2 linked regions of the Lepisosteus oculatus genome follow. The protein of the gene in region 1 binds, or shares a complex with, the protein of each later gene. Links are inferred from orthologs where the notes say so. Each region holds a gene or a part of one and is shown on either strand. Other genes may lie near its edges.

The links.
Region 2: phldb2b (region 1) and erc1b share a complex: the UniProt entries of both Homo sapiens proteins name them as parts of the cortical microtubule stabilization complex. The link is inferred for Lepisosteus oculatus from reciprocal best matches to the Homo sapiens genes PHLDB2 and ERC1.

The regions. Positions count from the first base shown.
Region 1 is NC_090700.1:5,141,338-5,149,150, reverse strand, and holds the start of phldb2b (pleckstrin homology-like domain family B member 2), read right to left. Parts: upstream 3,012-7,813; 5' UTR 2,499-3,011; exon of another isoform or gene 2,151-2,498; 5' UTR 1,806-2,150; coding exon 1,773-1,805; intron 1,378-1,772; exon of another isoform or gene 1,175-1,377; coding exon of another isoform or gene 1,172-1,174; intron 1-1,171. UniProt on the Homo sapiens protein: Seems to be involved in the assembly of the postsynaptic apparatus. May play a role in acetyl-choline receptor (AChR) aggregation in the postsynaptic membrane.
Region 2 is NC_090702.1:7,102,977-7,110,362, reverse strand, and holds the start of erc1b (ELKS/Rab6-interacting/CAST family member 1), read right to left. Parts: upstream 2,997-7,386; 5' UTR 2,977-2,996; intron 1,505-2,976; coding exon of another isoform or gene 1,393-1,504; intron 698-1,392; coding exon of another isoform or gene 585-697; intron 1-584. Other genes in the region: cdpf1 (cysteine-rich DPF motif domain-containing protein 1), read left to right, coding at 585-697, 1,393-1,504, 2,997-3,128; polycystin family receptor for egg jelly, read left to right, coding at 6,689-7,386. UniProt on the Homo sapiens protein: Regulatory subunit of the IKK complex. Probably recruits IkappaBalpha/NFKBIA to the complex. May be involved in the organization of the cytomatrix at the nerve terminals active zone (CAZ) which regulates neurotransmitter release.

The sequences.
Region 1 (7,813 bases):
AGTGTTTCTGCTGAAAAGACACTTGAGGACCTTTCCTGTAAATGTTCTTACAACTTGATTAAATGTGGAATTACAAAAAGTAAAACTACTGTGAATTGTAACAGCTGAAATTGTTCCATATCTGTGTATTGATTTTGTTTTGCTTCACAGGGAATTTTTACACAGGGCAGAACATCTCTTTAAATGAAAAGAGTGGTAGAGTAGTTGCATTTTCATTTTTCAAAGGAAAATGTTCAAAAAATTCAATTAACACTGGATAATCTTTGACCTCAAAGTGTTTCCTTTTCCTACCGCATGTAAGTCAGGGGAAGACTTCCCTTGCATGTTAGATCCCTTAACATTTACTTTTTGGGCTCTGCTTGAAAGCACCTTAACTGGAAGCAGGCTGTAACGCTCTAAGTTATTATCACAAGTGGCGTAATGGAGAGCCAAAACAGAATGAAGAGGTATTCATCAGCTCCAGCAAATTTAAACCAAATGCCCAAAGATCTGGTGGAGGTCCAGTCTGTCTGTGGGAACTCAGTAATCCCTATACAGGCAGTAGGAGCTCACCTGTGTTGTCTTTCTGCACTCAGAAACCGCTGGGGTCCAGCTGTATGTCTTGAATCACACACAAGCAGCCTTCAGGCTCGATGTGAGATCTATTAATATTAATGAACAGCTAGAGCACAACTGTCCTCTATTCAAGAGCAGTGCCGGTTTAGGACATTTAGCACTGCAATCCCAAAATCTGCCTACGGCCCACCACACTAGTAAAGCCAACAGTCTAATAGGTTGGAAATAACGATCTGAAAAAACAATGACCGCACTGCTGTACGCATGACAGCAGGTGGCAGAGACGTTTGTAAAAGCAGAGCTGGACACAGTGACGATAAGCAATGAAGGGCAGAAGGAATTCAAGGTTTCAGCTCAGGTCCTGAACCATCAAAGGAACTTCACCTTCAGTGAGGTCCTTTACAACACCTCAAAAAGCCTCACAATTGAATATAGGTCCTTTAAAAGATTCAGCACTGTCGCAGTCGCCAGAGATATCGTCGAAACAGAGATATCGCTTGCTCGCATATCTTCCAAGGAATGTGCAGTAAGCTATCCATTACGTTTTGCTTCTGCTCAATTATTTCGCGAGTGTGGACTGACAGGATAATTACTTACAAGAAGACCAGAAACTTACCATGTGAAAATGCCCGCTTGAGGCTATGGGTGAAGTGAATGTGGGTTGCGGCTCGGGAGAGGGTGGAATCGCACAGATGGGCGATTGTGGATCGGCGCTTCGCGGACACCTGACATCTGACAGGGAGCAGAGCCGGGTGTAGAGCCCAAGTCCCTGTGCCCCACCTGCAGCGCTCTGTAGCGCCCCGACACCCTGTCCGCCCCTGAGCCGCGCTCCGGAGGAATTCTAATTATGCACGCTCTGGCGCATGTGACAGGCGCTCCAGACACAACAAAGCAGACTTTCATCGCGCTGAGGCTCGTCTAACTGACCTGGTCTGGGCTACAGCGGCATGCAATACCTAACGACATACCACCAACATAATAACCAGTTTTAGATAACACGCAAAAAAAACCCCAATAAAGGACACCTTTCAACCGTTTCTTCAACTTTTAACCTATCAACAAAAAACAAGACAACAAAAATGCACCACTGCAAACTTAAAAATTATGGTATCAATCTTTTTTTTTTTTTAAAGCCGTTCGTTTCCACGGGGTCAGTTCGTAATTCGATAGAGCAATTCTCTTCTGAGGACCTGCTCGGGTAACATATAGCGACTTACCGTTTTGGAAACGGAGCTGTCAGTGTCAGGCATTCTTGCTGTTGTGGTTGCTCTTGGATTTTGGAGCGAGCAGGAGAAGGAAAAGACCAGAACAGTCAGAAATCCAGATGCGCAAGTGCGCACGCACGCAGAAAAGTTGTCCGTGTCAGGCAGGAGTCCGGGATGCGGGATGTCCGGCGCCGCTGAGGCATCGCACTACGCCCCCGGGGGCAGCCCTGCGCGCCGGGTGCCGGTCCGCTTGCGCCGCCCGCGCTGCTCCCTCGCGCTCTCCCTCGAGCTCCGGAATGCGCAGCAGCTGGAGACCTCGGGGTGCGTGCCGACTGCAGACCGGGGGGGGCTCAGCCGGCCGGCCAGCCAGGAGCGCGTGGAGCCACTTTTCTACAGCGGACAACAACAACAAGGTGTAGAGCTGACCAGAGTCTTTGAAATCAGACCCCCCCCCCCCCAAAAAAAAATTGGAACCCCAAAGACGCGTATATTTCCCAATCCCCACTCAACTGTCGCAAAAACAGCCCGATTTTTTTTAATGCGCGTTGCTTCGCAAAAGGCTAGGCGTGTGAAATTCGGAAACCTGACGCCTCCCGGAGCTGCTTCGGAAAGCGGTGTGTCGGAGATCGCGCGGCGAGTCTCCACGGGCCAGGAGGTGTTTCCTGTGTGAATCTACCGTATGTATGCAGATGCCAGGGACCGCGCCAAGATGCGAAGCTGTGTGCTATTGAAACATACTTTTCTTTTGATTTTTGTTTGTTTTCCGGAGGGGGGTTAAAGACCAGTCTTCGTCAGGATCCTTAAAATCGCAGTGATCGCGGAAAACGCTGGATGTTCCGGCAAACGTTCAATCTTTAGGAAGACGGTCTCCAGCTGAGCCCAACTGTAACGAATCGATCGATCTGATTCGTCGGCATACCTTGCCGGCGTCGAGTCCAGACCAGGCACGGTGAGCGGCGGCCGCGGTCGGGTCCGGCCCGGTCCGGTCCGGCTCGGACCCGCAGCTGCGGAGCGGAAAGGCTGAGCGGGTTGGGACGTGGCGGAGCGCGGGAGCCGGCGTGTTTATCGCCGCGGAAATCGCCACGGCACATGTCGTGGATTCCAGTGCAGGAGACCGAAGCGGCTCGGGGCTGCTTCAGGTTTCACGGTGGGGGAAGGATCTCCAGAGTAAACAGGAAGCCTCTGAGCTGGGCTGCGGCCCGGGCTGAGAGCCCGTGTGATCGTGCTGACCTGTGCTCTCCTTCCCCCGGCCTGCGGTGGGGTTATACAGGACGGCAGCGAGCACCTCCAGTGGGGGCAGTTCGGGCTGGACGGGGGCACTAACGGAGCAGGACTCAAACACACACACACACAGAGGGAGGTCTCTCCAGAGCTCTTTGCTCTGCTGTAAACTCAAATGTCTTATCTACAAGTCAAATCAAGATGGAATTATCCAAATGATTATCGGATTTAATATCCAATTATCCAATTTACCTGAAGAAGGCTCCACAGCCAAAGTATTGTTTTCTTCCTTCTCTTTTCAGCAGGGAATAAACCTATTACTTGTTCCTTAGCCAAATATTGCTCTCTCTCTCTGTCTGTGTGTTGTCTACTTTTAGACTTACACTATCAACCTTACACTTGTTTTAAAATGACTTTAATAATTCCTCACACTTATATAGCGCTTTTCTGGACGCTCCACTCAAAGCACTTTACAGGTAATGGGGATCCCCTCCACCACCACCAGTGTGCACCCCCACCTGGATGGTGTGGCGGCAGCCATAGTGCGCCAGAACGCTCACCACACACCAGCTCTCAGTGGGGAGGAGAGCAGAGTGATGAAGCCACAACATAGATGGGGATTATTAGGAGGCCATGATTTGGTAAGGGCCAATGGGAAATTTGGCCAGGACGCCGGGGTTACACCCCTACTCTTTTCAAGAAACGCCCTGGGATTTTTAATGACCACAGAGAGTCAGGACCTCGGTTTTACGTCTCATCCGAAGGACAGGCCTCTTTTACAGTATGGTGTCCCCGTCACTATACTGGGGCATTAGGACCCACACAGACTGCAGGGAGAGCGCCCCCCCCTGGCCCCACGAGCACCTCTTCCAGCAGCAACCTTAGCTCCTCCCAGGAGGTCTCCCATCCAGATACTGACCAGGCTCACACCTGCTGAGCTGCAGGGTGACATGGCTGCTGGCTGACTTTAAGATACAAACTTCTACCGTGAAAACTTTCAATCCCAAAGTGTGGGAACCTCTCCTTCAGCTTTTTCCTTTGGTCAGGTGGGAAATGCCAGGATGCCATACAGCAGCACTGCCACCCTCAGGCTGATCTCCAGAGCTGGGCCTCCCCAGTGAGGAGCTGGCAGGCTTCTCGGGGGGAGGGAGGGTCACTTCTGCAAGCGGTGTTGGCCGACCAGCAGGTGGCGCACTTTCCTCTCGACCGGAATCTCCCATCCGGGGCCCAGTCTGGTGACCTGGAGCGATGTGCAGGAGCAGGTGTCCTCTTCCAGCTGGGATGTGAAATCGAGGTGCTTGGTTTAGCCAATGACTGGGTGTGGCTCACAAGAGCAGGACTGAAGAGAACCCACACCGGCGCTCCAGAGACAGATCAATCTAGCCTCCCTAGATGTCCTCCTTAACTCACTGAGTGCGGTCGTTTCTCACCTGTCCAGCAGATGCAGAGTGGCTGCTGTGTGCTGCCCATATGTTCGTGGTGAAATGCTCTAGAAAAATGCATGTAGTTGTTGGTATTATTGTATAGAATTAAAGAATTATCTGTGGATTATTTACAAAACAAAAAAGTGTACCGGGAGAGTACACTACGATTAGAACAGCTTTTGTAATGAATCTGTGCTGAGAGGACATGAGAGGGCTGACTCTCCCAGCGTGTCATCATCGGCCTGCTTCTCCAAAAACCACGGCTCAACCTGTCCGATCCAGCTGCTGCTGGTGAACAAAGACGTATTGCTGCATCTTCAGGCAGCCCTCTCGGAGTGAACTCTGGGGGGAAAAGTTTCCAACACTGAATCTGTAACTGCAGGAGACAGATAAATATAAATCACAAAGCAATAGGCTATAAACGTTCGTGGTCACATCACTACATCAGCACTGTTTGTTATATTAAAAAATATATTTTTACTGGTTAAATTAAGAATGCAATATATTACCCTTTCCCCTTTAAGAAAAAAAAAACACGTCAGTTGGAAATTATTTATTTGGCCACTTCACAAAACTTGTTTATTTCAAACATTTCTCAACTATTACATGACCGTCTCTAGTATAACAGCTCATGAAAGAGTTAATTAAAGTGCATCACAGAAACACTATATTGATTGTACAGCATGTCTAAAGGATCTGAAAAGGATTTTGACACTATAAATGAATTTGAATAAGACAGGAAATGGTGGTGTGCTCTCATTCCAAAACAGCATTACGACATGCAAAGATGGGTTTTCCAAATTGAATACCTGACATTTATTTACTAAAGAGAGTATCAGCTGGACGATGAAGCCAATTACTTCACTGTCGTTCACAAATTCACTGTCTTTTATGAATCTTGCATACAGAGATGAATGACGTCATCTAAAAGATAGCTACTGGCATTCTTCTGAAATGGAGTTACATATCCATTACCTTGGAGCTCCACAGTGTTGCTATGGTGACGAATAACATTCCAAACAATTTTACCAGGGATTCTGGTTACAATCAGCAGAATGTATCCTAATGGACACCACTGGCTTATCGAACCCAAAGCCACGAGTTTCCCACACAACATTACCAACATAAAGTTGCCAACATTACAGTCAGCTGAGCAACCCTTTAATAGTAACAGTTTAAAAGCTTTTCAAGGATATTCAGCATATAAAAACGCATCCTACTTCAACGGAAGAGTTGCTGTCTTTTCAATGAATAGCTAGCATATGTCAATGTGCAGTAACACACTTTGGTGCATGCCTCAGGAATAAGCTGTAGCTTTTCCAGTTTGGGTTTACTAAAGAAGTTGTGTGTTTTTAATAAAAATGCAAACACACCTAAAGCACAGACAGATCTTTCTCACCCCCTTCTCCCACAAGTCCACCCCTGCCAGCCTCCTGATGACTTTCGGGCCTGTCCAGAGCAATCAAGCCCCCCAGCAGTGCATAACAGGACAACATCTTCCCATTACTGTTTGCTTTTCAATTACACAAAGACTTTGCAAATTACTGCTTATCTTGACAAGTGGCCTATTCAACAGCTTGCACTGTGTTTACACATGAGATCAGAATTCATGGCTTTCAATGTCCCTTTAAGTGCCGCACTGCGCTATAAATTCAAACTCTCTCTCTGGGCACCTGAGTTGAGCAGCCTTTCGAAACAAAACACTGAACCTGGGAATGAAATATAACCTAGAGAAGATAAAGCTTGTTCTTGAACACATCTCTGCTGCCACATTGTTCCAACATTCCAGTGGAGTGAATGTCTTTTGTCATAAAGTCTTTGCCTTGGTGCTGTTACAGGCATTCAAAATATCACAGTATAGCTGTTGAGAATCACAGTGTTAGGAATGAGTCGATCACTGACATCTAATAAGAAAGATTAATGCACACACAAAAAGAGAATAAAACAACAACAATAATAATAAGCTGTAAAGCTGTATGAATATCTACACTACTCCTGGACACATTACTCTTTCAACGACACTCTGTCATTGTTGCCAATGGATCACAAGGTATCGTGAGGCTTGTAGGGGTATCAGATACACCTGTGGGGAGGACTCTACCCTCAGGGCTCCACTGTGCGAAAATCAGGCTCCATTCAAATACCCAGACAGAGCAATCAGACAGTCACAGCCTCAAGTCCATGCATGGCTCTGTGCGAGGGCATGCGGCTGATATCATCTGGGAAACACTTTCAGGAATGCAGTTTTCCCTCTGAAACTCGTAGACACAGTAAGGCTATTCCCCGGATTGATTCAGCTTACATGGTAAAGAAAAACACAAACAAAAAGTCTCCTGGAATCTGTTTCCCATCACCCACGCTACGCGTGCAAAATGCCAACAGAGCCTCAGGCAAGACCAGCTGTGGCAGTGCAGAGACATAGATGATATCACCTAGCTCTTTCTTCTGTTTTACAAATATTACTTACGGATCTGCAGACAGGAAGCAAAGCATCTATTGCTTCCTGCACGGAATGTGATAAAATATTTTTTTTCCATATGGAAGTTTCAAACTTCCCATCTCGAAAATGTAATTGTAATTGCAATTAAATAAAAAAGTAATTGGCGAAATTAGAAGTACTGTCTGGTTGAATATTCTGTTTTAGATATAAACCATGCTGCTTTTAAATCAAAAAGTCATTTTTTTCACATCAAAACAGGTTATAAAATCATATCAAATTGCATAGTGTTGACATGAAGGATCTGCTGGTGAGAAAAAAATAAGTTAAATGTTTGTTGTTGGAAAATAGATTTGTCTTGAATTCGATAGTCGGTAGAAGTTAAAACAGCAGGTCACAAGGGGAAAAACAAGTCTCCTCAAATTCCAGGGTGATGCATGTGAACCAGCAGCAGTTTTGGAATGTTGCTCTGTTCTTGGTGAAACGTGACTGGGATCGAAGGTGAAACAAACTGGAACACAAGGGACTGGACTGGGAGCCTGGGGCTGATGACACAGGGAACGCCAGTGCGCCGATGAGGTGGGATCATCTGTCTGATGAAGGGTAGGTCCCTACAGTCCACTGCCTATTCTCAGGCTAATTGAACCTATCCAATGATTACAGTATTTCCTTGGATAGACCTATTCATAACCCATTTCAGAATTTAACAGAGTAATTGGACCTAGAATTGGCATTAACGCTGTACCAGGAACTGATTATCAGAACACTCTCCCTTCTCAATTAAACCCATGCATAATTAATGTTTAATAGGAATGCTTATTACTGGAGTGTGTCACACAACCTAATTTCCAGCTTTGTCTGTGTCCACGTTATTGGCAACCGAGCAGTTCAGACACATACAGGTGAGCAGCAGTTAATTAAAGACGCCAAAGACAAGCCGCCCTCAGTTCTGTTGGCTAAATATCTTGGCC
Region 2 (7,386 bases), on another chromosome or scaffold:
TTTGACAAAGAATATGCACGTCTCAGTCTGATGCACTTCTGGTGTACTCGGGTGCCATCTGTTGTGGAGAGCACAGAGATTGGTTACAGATCATATACGTTTATCACTTGTTTTATCAGTGTGTCTTTTGTGTACTTTAGCCTGTCTGTGACAGACCCAGAGATCAGAATCTTTCTTGTTTCTTGCCTGTGAACTGTTTTCAAACCTATAAATACAGGAGCCTTTTGTCCTAGATGACCAAATCGGAACACAATATCCTAAATGAGGATTTATTAGTGCATTCTAAATTTGAGCATAACGTCCCTGGCTTTAAATGTCACACTTTTGCTATATACCTGTACATGCTGTTTGATTTTGATTCCCCACTTTGATGTGATGAAGACATATAAGAATCTGCAAGAACACCTAGATTCCTTTCATGCAGACTATGCACTGTGTGAAAATTAACATTATTATTCACAAATGTTAAAGATAAATTTAAGATCTAACATCAGAGAGGAAAGGCAAATGTGTACTTAAGTGCTGTGCAAGTTCTTTTTGGGGAGGCTGTGGTAAGGAGTATTTTTTTTTGTATCTCCTTCCAGATGGAAGAGGACAAAGATGGACAGTCACAGAGACGGTTTACCTGTAAATTCTGTGACTTCTCAGCTTCTTATACATATTATGGGCAGAAGCCACCCAACACCAGGGCCATTGTGTAAGTATAAGAAACAGTAGGTAACCTGAAGGCCTGTTGACATACAGTACAGTATAGCTGTAAGGTACATGTACTTGAATTAAATGCTTTGGTATTTTCCACAGTCTCCTTAAAAACGGATACAGTATTACCTATCTTCCTTCAGGGGTCCATTACTCTATCTGTATGAGATATGCTGCAACAGTTGTTTCTCCCCTACTTGAAGTGCTTCTTTCACCTTTCAAGGAGCAGTGATAAAGACTTTCCCCAAGTTCTAGTGAGCTAGAATTCAGCCCTCAAGAAACTTGACTAAAACAAATGTTTTGTAGAGATAATGCTGGTGGCTAGTTTTCTGCATCAATTTTGTCACAAGTTCTGTCAAACTGAGAATCAGATGGTAAATAAATGTACTGGATATGACAGACTTCACTCAAAAAACCAGCATGCATTTCATTGATTGTAAAGTGCTGTATATTGGAATATTCTTACAATGCTTTTTTTCCTGTGACAATAAAATTGTAACAAAATGCGGGTACAATGGATTTGAACATATAAGGACAGTTTTAGTGTGCTACATATCAAAAGTGCAGAGTAATTGTAGCTCCTTCCCGAAAGTGCAGGTTTTTTAGCTACACAGTTTAGCTATGAACTTCACTTGGTTTGTTGTGGGTGTTTTTTTGCTTTGCCAATGCCACTTTGTGTCTTTTTTTCCACAGTCTTCTGGAGGAGTGCTTTGTAACGAAGGATCCCTTTAGTCCCAACAAGGAGAAATTCTTGGTTTTAGGATCACATTGCAGTCTGTGCGGCAAAACCGTTTGTGTTGGGACGGTACGTTTCAATAGCCTTTTAAGTGTAAATAATACTGAGGGAAGCTAATATTCATTTCCTATGCTGTACTTTGAAGAGGTGCCGTTGGGATATTTTCAGCCAATGTTTCTTGTTTTATGTATTATGAGAATGACCTTTCGTTAAATCCTTTTCACCAGACTTTAAACAGGATTTTCGTTTACTGATTTTTCTAGAATTGCTCTAAGAGGAACAGCATGTGAGAGGAAACTAAATATTGTGTCTTTGAATTGACCCTTATGAGTGAACAATCAAATCACAGAAACGTTTTCCTGAATTTATTCCTGAATATGGTTACCATTCAGATTTTAACCGCAGCTTTGTAGGTTAACTTTTCAATTAAATCTAATTTCTAATGGGAAAAGAGGAACTGGCTGCTGTATACAGAGTAGCTACTGTAGATACAGGTGGACTACGCTTGGCTATATAGTAGAAACTGCTGAAATCACCATGCAGGACTGAAAGTCATGCTCAGACTGTCTTGAGCATTTGGATGACTTGAACAGTGTTCATATCTGGCCACCACATTGAAAAATGAATGTCACCTGAGAAACGTTTTAATGTGTGGAGAGTTTAAAAGAACATAATTGGAAATCTAACTTGTTTTTAACAAAGACGTTTTAGGGGAGATCTAATTGAGTGCTTTATTTCAGATTTCTGAGAGGGGCTGAACCCAGATCTTTCTTTAGGCTCAACAGAGTTTTGCTTGTGATATGTTAGGAGAGGAATGTGTGCAATTACTGGGATTGTAGCTCAGAGCTGTGTCATGGAAATCACATAGTTGATTATTCCAAATTGGAACGGTACACCAAAAATAATTGGTAGTTCTATCTTTTAAAAAAATACTGCACACAAAAACTAAATATATTTTTTTTAATTACGTAGCTGTTATGTTCAATATGTAGCCGTATGTCTTCATCCATTTACTCATTTATCCTATAACTTACAAAATGTTGCTGCCTAAAAGATGATATTCAGCCCAATGTGTTAGGGTGCTGGTAGCTTATGGATCATAGGATTTCATACTCCACTTTCTTGAAAGACCCCAGTTTTAGCGACATGACAAGGCACCTTATTCAAGACACCAACCACTTTTTGTGTAAAAACGTGTCTGTGTTTTTCTCTATTGATTGTGTCCCACTTTCATTTTTGAGCATGAAGTAATGTATTAGGTTGACTTTGTCAGTACCTTCAGGATGTGGTGTATCTGCACCTCTATTCTTCTATTTTCAGCACTGAAGAGTTTCAGTACTTTTAAACTTTTTGTGTATATCCGTTTTTGGCATTAGAGGGTAATGCTCCCGGGGACACATTTCTGAGGTTACAGACCACATCGTAGTGATTGGCAGGTTATTCTCTTTTGCAGTGTTGATTTTATATTCATCAAGAATCTAATTCTTATAGAAAATACAGGACAAAAAAAGCCACTGTTAAAAACCACCCATGGAGCTGACCTCTGGTGCTTCTTTCCCAGGAGTGCAGCCTGTTCTACACAAAGCGCTTTTGCTTGTCCTGTGTCAGGGAGCACTTGGAAGAGTTTCCCCAGCAAATCCAGGCGGAGCTTAAAAAGAAGAAACAGGCACAGAAGACTCTAGTCACCCAGTGAACGCTGCTGGCAAAAAACTGGACTGGAAGGGAAGTTAAGGGAACTGACAGTTTATAGACTTCCACATTTGTTTAAACCCAATGTACACCTATGCACAGAAACAGTCGTGTTCTCTACTGTTTATATTTCCGTTAATACATAATGTGAAACAAGTATGCATTGGGTATGGATGGTTACGATGTGCTTGTCACTGGAAAATCCCTATAGTTTCTCTGAACATGGAATCTGAAAATGTGATGCCACTTTATGAATATTGAATTTAATATGAATATGTGCATTTATACTATGCATTAGGCTAAGCTGATTAATAGAAAAAGAAAATAATCGGTTTTATGGCCCAAACTGAAAACGAATGCAAATAAGTGGGCTTTTCTTTCTAGAGAAAATAAACATGTACATAACCTGACATGACTCGTGGTAGACTGCAGCTGAAGAAACCAAAATTATGTGGAGTATTGGATTTTAATTAAAAAGGTTATTTTTTTGAGGGAAGAATTGCTGTGGTTTGTACGTTCTTTCAATTACTGTATTTTCTTTTTTGGTTTCCGGAGCTTATTTTATGACGATGGTCAGTAAGCTACACGTTTCTTTTGTCTTCTGTTGATCCGAGTCCACTGGTCATTTAAGCTGGGTGAATTAATAAGGTTAATAACCGTAATAAGAAGAAATAGCACTATACAGTTTTGAATCGAGCTATGTAGGATTTAAATAATGGTGGGGGTATATTAGTAAAATACAAGTGAAACAGAAAAAAAATAAGATTAAATTGTACAAACCTTTTTGAAGGGCCTGGTGGACGGTATTCAGAAAAGTAAAGGTTCACATGGAAGTTTCTTGTTTTTTATGTTATAAGGTGGGGGTGGAAGCGAGGTTCTGCAGTTTTTGAAAAAGACCGAGCATGAAACCCCATCCTGAGGAGTGGCCAGCAAAAGCTGAAGAAGTGATTGACGAATGGACTAAAACAGGAATACACTTGCAAAGCTTTTCTCTTTTTTTTCCATATGCAATCGTGAAGACCGGGTAAAAACTGAGCTTAATTCAATGTATTCTCTCCCTCTTTCGCAAGCCTAATATATATTACCTACTGTACATAACGTCGTTCTTTTCCCTTTCCAACTTTGCGCTTACCAAAGAAACTTAAAACGAGGAGATGTACCCCAAAAATGGGAACTTTAGACCGAATTTAATTTAATTTAATGTTAATACGTTGTTACTGCGTGTGTTGTGCGGTCTTTTCCTCACTCGGCGAACTGAAGGAGCATCCTAACGTGCGTCATCAGTCTCAAGAGGTCGCGCTGCGCTCTTGTCTGCTCAGGTGTGACCTACTGTACGAGCTCGTGGCCACCTTTTTCCCAATTCAAAATTAACGGCATCCCCTACCTGTAAGCAAATCTCTTTCAAAACCGAACTGTGATAAAGGCAAAAATACAATGACCTCTACCTTGACGTGGTGCTGTATGCTGTTGCTGTTTTACGCCCGTGTCCTCTCACAGCCTGGCTTCAATTCGCCCCCCTTTGAGATTAGGTGTGCGGACGAGGACGGGGAGGTGCACAGCAGAGCCGACACGGACGTTTTCGTCACCTGCCGACGCCGACAGAGCACGCAGATCCGCTTCAGCTCATGCAAGAACATAAAAGCCGACGCACTGCAGCCTCCCACCTGTGACTGGAGGGACCACGCTGCAGGATTAATTCATCGCACTGACCACTGGTCCGGGACTCTCACGTTGGCTCCAGACATCCAGGTAATCACCGTGACGTCCTGCACCGTGTCTTCCTGCCCTCCGACAGACTGCCGATTTAAAAATCTGACCATAAGGGTGATCGACCAACAGGTTGATTTTTTCCTACTGTCTCCAGCTCCACTGTACGATTTTGACAAAGTGCAGATTGGTTGGTGTGCTGAGATGAAAAGCCCATTATGGACCTACATGTTTCAAGCCCCAGGAGGGACTCCCTCACAGAAAATGATACAGAGTGACTGGTATGTTATAATTGACACCACTAGTGTCCCTGTTCACTTGAAAGGCAGATGCTCCAATAACTATAACTACATAGTAGAAGTGACTTACCCCAAGCCGGGCACGTATAGGGCTAAATTAATCAGTGAAGGAAATATCTTTGTCCTTGACATTCAGGTAAAATCAGGGCTAATCCCTATTTATAATGCAAAGAGTGAAGTGTTAAGTCTAAATGAAAGATTTCATGTTTTCTGGAAAGCATCAGACATTCAGAACATTGTCAGTTACCAATTGGAAGCCAGTGAAACCAACAGAACCTGGCTTGTAGACTATAGCAGCTATGTTTTGAGAAAAACCTCTTGTTTTAATAGTAGGAGATCAAACAGCCTCCTGCTCACCGACATTGTGCTGCAGAAGACCGCTTTCTTAGGCAATTTCAGTGGCGCCATCAGATTTTCAAGTGGCACTGCCGAACTCACTCTGAACACAACCTACACCAAACTGACCTTTGATCTTCAAACTAACCGGACCGTCCTGTATTTTTTCAGCAATTCTGATGACTTTTCCTACTACAAACAGGATAGTAGGGTTAATAATGTACTGCACATCATCTTCATCCAACAGCAAATCTTCCTGCACTTGATCAAATTCTGCTTCTCCTGGGACCAGCGTTATACTGTCAGTGTGCAAACGTATGTGAACAAACGGGACAGCCTGTACAAATCTGTGGGTGAATTTGGGAGTGGCTTTGACCTGTACCTGTATAACAGTCCGGCGCCACATCTAGACTTTACACAGCATGCAGTTTGGTTTGTGCCCACCCAGCATCCCCTTCTGCAGTGTGAATGGACATTCAAGCTGCAGGTGCTCTGTGCCTCAAGAACGTCACTCACTTCCACGTATTCTTACTCTGACCAACATCCAAATGTCCTCACCTTTCTTTCAGGTGCCGAGCCATCATGGGCGGCTGTAAATTACGTGGGCTTTGTTGCCAATGTGACTTGTTTTGACAGTGGAGAAAAGCCCCTAATTTTAACGGTGACATTTGGAAACCGTCCTGTAAAAATTGCAAGGTCCCTGGCATGCTTCAGTAGGAAGACCAGTGGGTGCTTGAAGGTACTTTTGAGGAAACCAGACCCTCCTGTTATACCTGTAAAAAAATCTCTCCAGTTTACTGTTTACTCTTCAGTGGCAGTATACTGTTCTTGTGTATTGCAGACTACATTCATCTGGAAAATATACAGAGTCGCTGGTGTCAGTTCAGTTCCAAAATGGGAAAATCCTCTGGCAGCACCATTCATTTCCTCAGCTAGCAAATCCTTCTTGTACATCCCAAAATGCTCTCTAGAGTATGGCATGTACATGATGAATCTTACGGTCAGCGTCTTTATACAAAATTCAAATCTAAATGTAACCAATACTGATTCACTTTTTGTGGATGTAATGAAAAGCCCTCTGAAAGCTGTCATTAAAGGAGGCTCATACAGAACTGTGGGTTTTAATGCAACTTTGGTATTGAATGGTTCACTGTCTGCCGACCCTGATGTAATGAACCCATTTGACGGTCTCCATTTCTCATGGTACTGTTCAAGGAAACCCATGGATCTTGAGGCTATGACACTCTCTCCGAATAACGCATGTCACCCGGACCAGTTTGAAATCAGATGGCCACCATCATCAAAAGCTACAGTTGAAATCATGCCTGAATTGTTGAAAGGAGGTGCTGTATATCATTTTCGTCTATCAGTTCAAAAAGATGGCAGGGAGAGTCATTTTAACCAAGCAATAAATGTTTTACCTGGACCACAGCCTGAAATTCAACTCTACTGCATTGAGAACTGTGATCAATTGCTGAACCCGTCAAATAGATTTGTGCTTTCCTGTGCTTGCATTTCCTGTAGCACTGACAGCCAGCCCAACGTTGAATGGTATTTATTGGCTGGTAAAAATGCAACTGAAATTGCAATTGATTGGGCAGCCAACACTACAACAGGAAGATTTAACAAATACCTTTCAATAAACGCTTTTGTGTTTCAGAAGAGCATAGGCAGCACATTTGAGTTGCAGGTCAAAGTAAGCACAAGGAGTGGACTCTCAAGCATGCAGAGGTATTTCTTCAGTGTTAATGAACCTCCTAAGATGGGAAACTGCCAAGTGATCCCCAGCAATGGTATCGCATTACTAACAGAATTTGTTGTACAGTGTTCAGGGTTTGTGGATGATAATCATCCTCTTATGTATAAAGTTAAAGCCTGTGTAGATGACTCCAAGAGGGTAATTGTAAACTCATTACAAGA